Daphnia pulex: one gene and its partner. The protein of the gene in region 1 purifies or fractionates together with the protein of each later gene. This does not show direct contact. Links are inferred from orthologs where the notes say so. Each region holds a gene or a part of one and is shown on either strand. Other genes may lie near its edges. The genes, in order: kinesin heavy chain-like and fasciculation and elongation protein zeta-2-like.

What was found.
Region 2: the proteins of kinesin heavy chain-like (region 1) and fasciculation and elongation protein zeta-2-like purify together in Drosophila melanogaster (affinity purification with western blotting; 3 studies listed by BioGRID). This does not show direct contact. The link is inferred for Daphnia pulex from reciprocal best matches to the Drosophila melanogaster genes Khc and Unc-76.

Annotation. Positions count from the first base shown.
Region 1 is NC_060020.1:7,295,946-7,300,499, forward strand, and holds the start of kinesin heavy chain-like, read left to right. Parts: upstream 1-1,725; 5' UTR 1,726-2,336; coding exon 2,337-2,483; intron 2,484-2,554; coding exon 2,555-2,642; intron 2,643-2,716; coding exon 2,717-2,944; intron 2,945-3,007; coding exon 3,008-3,151; intron 3,152-3,212; coding exon 3,213-3,337; intron 3,338-3,403; coding exon 3,404-3,657; intron 3,658-3,718; coding exon 3,719-3,893; intron 3,894-3,952; coding exon 3,953-4,111; intron 4,112-4,170; coding exon 4,171-4,344; intron 4,345-4,401; coding exon 4,402-4,539; intron 4,540-4,554. Other genes in the region: group XIIA secretory phospholipase A2-like, read left to right, coding at 497-725, 803-870, 946-1,210, 1,274-1,377. UniProt on the Drosophila melanogaster protein: Kinesin is a microtubule-associated force-producing protein that may play a role in organelle transport. Milt and Miro form an essential protein complex that links Khc to mitochondria for light chain-independent, anterograde transport of mitochondria.
Region 2 is NC_060027.1:4,971,118-4,973,736, reverse strand, and holds the end of fasciculation and elongation protein zeta-2-like, read left to right. Parts: coding exon 1-93; intron 94-416; coding exon 417-492; intron 493-587; coding exon 588-653; intron 654-740; coding exon 741-757; 3' UTR 758-1,873; downstream 1,874-2,619. Other genes in the region: acyl-CoA:lysophosphatidylglycerol acyltransferase 1-like, read right to left, coding at 2,477-2,619.

The DNA of each region.
Region 1 (4,554 bases):
AGCTGAAGCGTTGTGTTACTAATTATATGTACTCTTTAGTTAAATATCGTGTACACAAATGGACACAAATCCAATAAAAACTAAAAAAAAATCTTACGTCAAAACAAACCCCACTAATCGATATAGAAAGTTTATCGATTCAATAAGGAAAATCAAATCCGATTTCGATTTGAAATTACGTGGGCATTCAAACTACGCTATATTTTCGTAGTATCCAATTTGTTTATATTTATGACCAATGGCCGCGATTATAACTTAAAAAACAAATTTATTTCGTAATTCAACGTAATATAAAAGGTATCGTATCGAGATATCAATATATGTATCGCGTGTTGCAATTGCAAATCCCTTCTATCAATATATAGGGAAGGTTCGAAGGGGCGGGCGGAGTGCACCGTTTACTTCTTAGTGAAATAAAATACCGGACTGTAGTTGTGTAACCTGCAAATTGTCTGGAATTCTCTCAGAGTTATCGTCCCATATCGGACGATGTACGATGAAGAATTCACATGTAGCCATCATACTAGTAACTTTATTTTTCCTGGATGGTTGGTGGACCGGAATACTTAGATGGATTATCTTCAAAATGATGTCTACTGGAATTATTGGTGCTACTTTCAGTACTCTTGTAGATTTTTGCGCTTATCACCCAAAGATCTGGGAATCCTCAATCAATCTTTTGTCACAGCCTTCCAGTTCTGAATTGAAGTTTGATTGCCCACCTGGTTAAGTATACAATATTCTGACCCCCTTGCAGTTTACTAATAAATCAATAATTAAATGTATACCTACATTCTTGCAGGATTTATAGCAGCGCCAAACCAAAGTCATTTCCCGACTAGTAATGGCTGTGGAGCTGATGGACTCAAAGTAACGATACAAATAAAATCAGCCCAGAATTTTCTTTTATCTATTTTCCGCTATTTTTTTCTTTATATAATGTAGATAGACGTTGAATGTTTGCCATATAAAGACCAAGAGCTATGCTGCAACACTCACGATATGTGTTACGATAAATGCCACATCATTTCGTCAATGGAAGCTGACGTGCACCGAGGCCAATGCGATAAAGAATTTAAAAACTGTTTGATAAAAATTTGTTCATTTAAAAGCTGGCAGCGGTACTTGATTTGCCCATTTCGCATCGTACTTACTAATAAATTCTGGAATGAGAACTGCGAGCAGCCTTTAATCGATGATCGGGAGAAAAGTGAGTTATTACTTTACCAAATATTTATTTCGTCTCCTAACAGTATAAAATATTTTTTCTTAGAGTGCGAAGCATCTGTTGAAGTTCTTTATCAATCCGTCCATGGTTGGGGATTTAGTGCTTACTTAAAGGCTCAATCACAAGCTTGCGTCTGCGTCCCCGGTTGAAAACACAAACACAAATGATTTCGTAATTTTAATGATGTCTTTCATAATTTATTTTCATGATTTCGTATTTTGCATATTTACTGCCTAGAATACAGACAACAAATTGAAAAATAACGCGTTATGCTGCCTACTTATTATTATAGTCAGCCCCTAATATGTCTAAAATACTTCCTTGTTTTTTCATCATAGAATATAATTACGACTTCTATTATTAAACCGGTTTAATTTGAAATTGATTGGTTGAAGAAGAATCTAGTGAAAATGATGCAATGTTTTTAAGAGCACATACAGCGCATATCACACGACTCGATCAATAAGAAACCAATATATGCAGCAGTGGGTTAGTCTAAACCCTATCGCACCATAGCTGAGCGAGCTGCATGGGATGTGCGATACAGAACAGAAGAAGGTAGTAGCCCTTACGGTGTGTGTCATTTAGTTTTCCTCTTGTATTTCCTCTTTCTCTGGTGCACGACCATAGCTGCAATTTGGTTACGAGTCGTTAACGCATCCACATCTTACGGATGGCAGCTTAATTGCCGGAAGTCCGCTCGGCTTGAAAATATCAAGTGCATCGGCCTCCAGCTGCTTGCTCACACCCGTTTGGTCGTTGTGTTTTACTTTTTAGGTGTTCGAGCTTTCGATCAAATACGTGCAGTGCTCGCTCTTCCAACCAACAAACAAATTGAAATATCTCGTCAATTTGTTTTACGCAAATACTGTCAGAAACAGAACAAACATTTCTTATCTAAGTAACAGACTAACAGATTCGATTGATTTGTTTGTTGGCCATTGGTCCTCATACTCGCCTTGTGTGTTGGCTAGAAGAGGGTTCACGTGCCCCTCCCTCTCTCTTTCTTCCTTAAGGGCAAATTGGCATTGAGTCGGAACTGACGTGAAAAAAAAAGTGTTCCTACTAAAACTTTCAAGTATTTTAAGTTATTGAGAGCTGTGTAATCATGTCAGCCGAAAGAGAAGCGCCGGGAGAAGATAGTATTCGTGTAGTGTGTCGTTTTCGACCTTTAAACGATGCCGAAGAGAGAGCTGGATCGAAATTCGTCGTCAAGTTTCCACCCGGCACTGACGACCAATGTATAAATTTAGGGGTAAGAATCCTGCAACACCGATAATGTAATTTAATTAAATCAAATAACCACGAGTTCTACTTTTAATGTAGGGAAAAGTTTACATGTTTGATAAAGTATTCAAACCCAATGCCAGTCAAGAGAAAGTGTACAATGAAGCAGCAAAGAGTATTGTAAAAGGTATTTCTATTTCTTCTATTAACACTCATTTGAGAAATATCCTTGATCTAAAACACACCTTTTTTCCTGATTAGATGTCCTAATGGGCTATAATGGAACTATATTTGCATACGGGCAAACATCCTCGGGTAAAACCCACACAATGGAAGGAGTCATGGGAGATCCACATCTACAGGGTATCATCCCACGAATTGTCAACGATATCTTCAATCACATCTATGCTATGGAAGAAAACTTGGAGTTCCACATTAAAGTCTCTTATTTTGAAATCTACATGGACAAAATTAGGGATCTTCTTGATGGTAAAACTACTAAAGAAATTATTGTGTTGTTAGCAGAATAATACCAAACTGTTTTTATTGCAGTATCTAAAGTCAATTTGAGTGTGCATGAAGATAAGAATCGCATCCCTTATGTAAAGGGTGTAACAGAAAGATTTGTTACAAGTCCTGAAGAGGTATTTGAAGTGATTGAAGAAGGAAAAGCTAATCGACACATCGCTGTAACAAGTAAGAATTATTTAGAGACGTAAATTGTGCATCAATTTTCATTGTTTATTTTCAATTACAGACATGAATGAGCACTCCTCTAGGAGCCACTCAGTTTTCCTAATTAACGTAAAACAAGAAAACTTAGAAAATCAAAAGAAACTATCGGGTAAACTTTACCTTGTCGATTTAGCTGGAAGTGAGAAAGTAAGTAAAACAAATCAACTTTTGGTGTCCTTCGTGAACTTATCGCGTATAATCTTAATTTTCCAGGTGAGCAAAACAGGTGCTGAGGGAACCGTCTTGGATGAGGCAAAAAATATTAACAAATCCTTGTCGGCATTGGGAAATGTTATATCTGCATTGGCCGATGGAAATAAATCTCACATACCTTACCGTGATTCAAAATTGACACGTATTCTTCAAGAATCATTGGGTGGTAATGCCAGAACGACAATTGTTACTTGTTGTTCTCCAGCGTCATTCAATGAATCGGAAACTAAGACTACTCTGGACTTTGGCCGAAGGTATTGATGAAACAATGTTTATGCTTCTCTCTAAATTATGCCATTTGTTTTGTATTTGTAGAGCAAAAACTATTAAAAACGCCGTCACAGTAAATGAAGAACTTACTGCCGAAGAATGGAAACGCCGCTTCGAAAAAGAACGCGAGAAGGCTCAACGCTATAAAACAAAATTGGAGATTGCCGAAGCAGAACTCACTCGTTGGAGATCTGGCGAATCTGTTGGGCAAGAAGAACAAGTATGAAAATTCATTTTGAGATTACTAGATCAACAATCCTGATCTTTGGTTTTATTTAGGTTAATCTTCGAGATGCTATGGACGTATCTACCATCAGTGTTGACCTGACTCCTGTGGCACCGGTTGCTCCCGTTTTGCCACCTGTTCTTGCTGCCCCTGCCGTTCGAGCTGATTGGGATTCTGAGCGTGAAAGACTGTACCAACAGTTGGATGATAAGGTTGGTTTGTTGTCCAAGTTTTTCAGTACACCGAACTAAATTTTTAAAAATCCCTATAGGATGAAGAAATAAATCAGCAAAGTCAGTTAGTGGAAAAGCTTAAGGAACAAATGATGGAACAGGAGGAACTTATTGGTGCTACCCGCAGAGATTATGAATCGCTACAACAAGAAATGAACCGCATCCAGGCTGAAAACGAATCAGCAAAAGAAGAAGTCAAAGAAGTTTTGCAAGTATGTCACTTTCATCCCCTCCACGTTCCCCAATACTAAACTTTTCTATCTGTCAAGGCTTTAGAAGAATTGGCAGTTAATTACGATCAGAAGTCTCAGGAAGTGGAAGCTAAGAACCGCGACAATGAAACAGTCACTGAAGAGTTATCTCAACGTCAAAGCCAGCTTAACAGCACTATGTCTGAACTAGCACAGGTGCGCCACATTTTC
Region 2 (2,619 bases), on another chromosome or scaffold:
AACCAGAAGAAGCCGGCCACCAATGCAACGACACCGACGGGCAAGAACGGCAATAAAATGGGCAGCGGGTTCACCAGCCAGCCCGACTGCAAGGTTAGCCCATCCCTCCTCGTTCTCTGACTCATTCTTGTATATTTTTCCTTTTACGAGCGTCGAGTTAAGAGGACTCTCTCTCTCTCTCCGTAAGAGTGTCCTCTTGATTTACGACAATACGGGATGGAGCAAAAGGAAAAAAAAAATGTCAAAAGGTCGTATCTTAATCTCGTTAATCATCCCGACTGACGGGAAATGGCTTTTTACGGGGCTTCTTTCATAGACATGGAGCCAATGGCATTTCATTTGAAAACAATTCGTCCTGCTGATCCTTTTATTGTTTTTTTTTTCTCTTTTGTCTGTTGTGTTTGTGTCGCGCGCAGTACATCACGACAGTCATTCCCTATCACCCTGGCAACGGACCTCCGAGCAATCCGACCGTCCAGGTCCTCATCAAAAGTAAGTCGTGACACTTACCCCCCAAAAAAACTTGTTATTATTTCTAAAGAGAAAATTCTTTTTTTCTTATCCACTTGGGATGACTTTTAATGCAGTTCTCCGAGCCATTGTTGAGGATAGCCCAACCGTACCGACATTACTGACGGATTATATTTTGAAAGGTAACATTTTACCAGGAATTTCATTTTTCCCCGGCCCAGATTCCTTTCCCATTTTTTAACATTAAATTACTTATTTGGAATTTCTAGTGTTGTGTCCGACGTAGTTGCTAGGTCGTGGCGCCGCGCTCGACGTGGTCGTTTCTCTCATTTCCAGTTCTTCGTCTTCTTCATTCGTCAAAATAATTGACATCCAAGAATCTTAACCGCAATCTCTTTTCAGCTGGCGGATGCTTTAACGTTCGTCCTACGCGCACCATCATTAAATAATATTTCAGAACAAACAAAAAAAGAATTCCTTTTGACAGAAGGATATCGGCTTTTGTGGCCTCGTTTGCGTTCGTTGAAAACAAAACAAAAAAAAGAAACAAGAACTTTTTTCTTTTCTTTTTTTGTGTTGGAATTTGTAGTCGAAACCGGAACAAATCTGAATCTCCTTCCTTTTGTACGAATAAGCCTTTTTCCCCCCATTTTTGTTATTCTTCATTTGCTCCCTTACGACTGTTCGAACTTTTTCGCCTAATGTGTTTATAGTTTTGACTCTACAGCCGCCGTTGTTTTTCTTTTTTTAACCTCGCTTAGGCTTCCTCAATTTATTTGGTGATTATTTATATACCTTGCTAGATCTTTTCTCTCTCTCTCTCTCCCACCCACCCTTGTCTGACAACACACAGAAAGTTGGAACCGAGTCAAAATCAAAGCCGGGGGACTCTCCCGCTTGAAAGAAGAAAAACACGAGATTGAATATCCGAGCAGAGTAAGAAGAAGAAGAAGCTCGTCTAGTCAAAACATTTGATCCTAGTTCCCCCGCCACCCAATTAATTGACGTCATCCTACCTTGTCGGCAGCGCGATCCTTTCAATTTATTTTTTTTTTCCCCGCGAGAAAACAAGAAACGACGAAGAAAAAGAAGAAGAATAAAAAGTGTAACTAGATCTCAACCAGTTCTTTCTCCTCCCCGCTGCGTGTGACAATGACTAATAAGAAAAGAAGAAAACAGGTTGAAAGACAATATAAATAACGAGACTGGCTGCTGCTTTTGACATCCCGGAGGTTGATGTGACACTTCTCTGTTCCGTTGTGGCTTTTTTGCGTTCAGTATTTTTTTTTTTTTTTTTTTTGTTCTTTTCTTCCTTCCTTGTATACAAAATTTTTTTCGTGACGTGTGTCGTGTGCCACTTATGGACGTTAAAAAAAAAGCGCAATACATTACAATGCTCCCATTCTCTGATTATTTTTTATCGATTGATTTTTCATGGTAATAAGTGTCGAATCTACATGAAAAATTGACTAATACTTTTGAAGGTTTCTCTGTGGGGGTTGCGAAAACAGACTAAACTCGAGATAAGTCGAGGTGAGTGTAGGTATCATATAATCAACTCAAAGATTATATCATAAAAAAACGGCCATAAACATGTCAAAACAGTGTGAGACACCATTTGCTACTACGTACAGAACGAATCCACAGGCGCACAGACAGCACACGATGATAATGAAGTCCCTGACTTTGCACGGGTGCTAAGGAAAGAGACGGGCAGGAATTTCGCTTGTTTTTTTGTTTTTTAAGGTCGGAAACGGTAGGGATGGATGGATGGATAAATGTGGGTAAGAGAGAGAGACGGGAGGAGTTGGATGAAGGAGGATTTCTACTCCGTGCGGATGGGAAACTTGACAGAACGGCCAGCACGAACAATGGCGTGCAACACGAGACGACACGAATTGAGGAGAACGAAAGGAAAAAAAAATTTCAACAAAAAACAAAAATGAGAGAGAAAAAAAAGCTATGTGACTCGAACACGTGGGTGAAACCATATCACCTCAATATTTCAGAAAATCGAAGAGGAGAGCAATGTCAGCAGGTTCCAATGGAACAGAGTGGACGTGATGTAGAGGGCGTGAAGAATGACGGTACGGAATCCGTCGTGAAGTACTGGGCGCGGGTGGCAAAACTCACCGGGTCGGCGGTGAT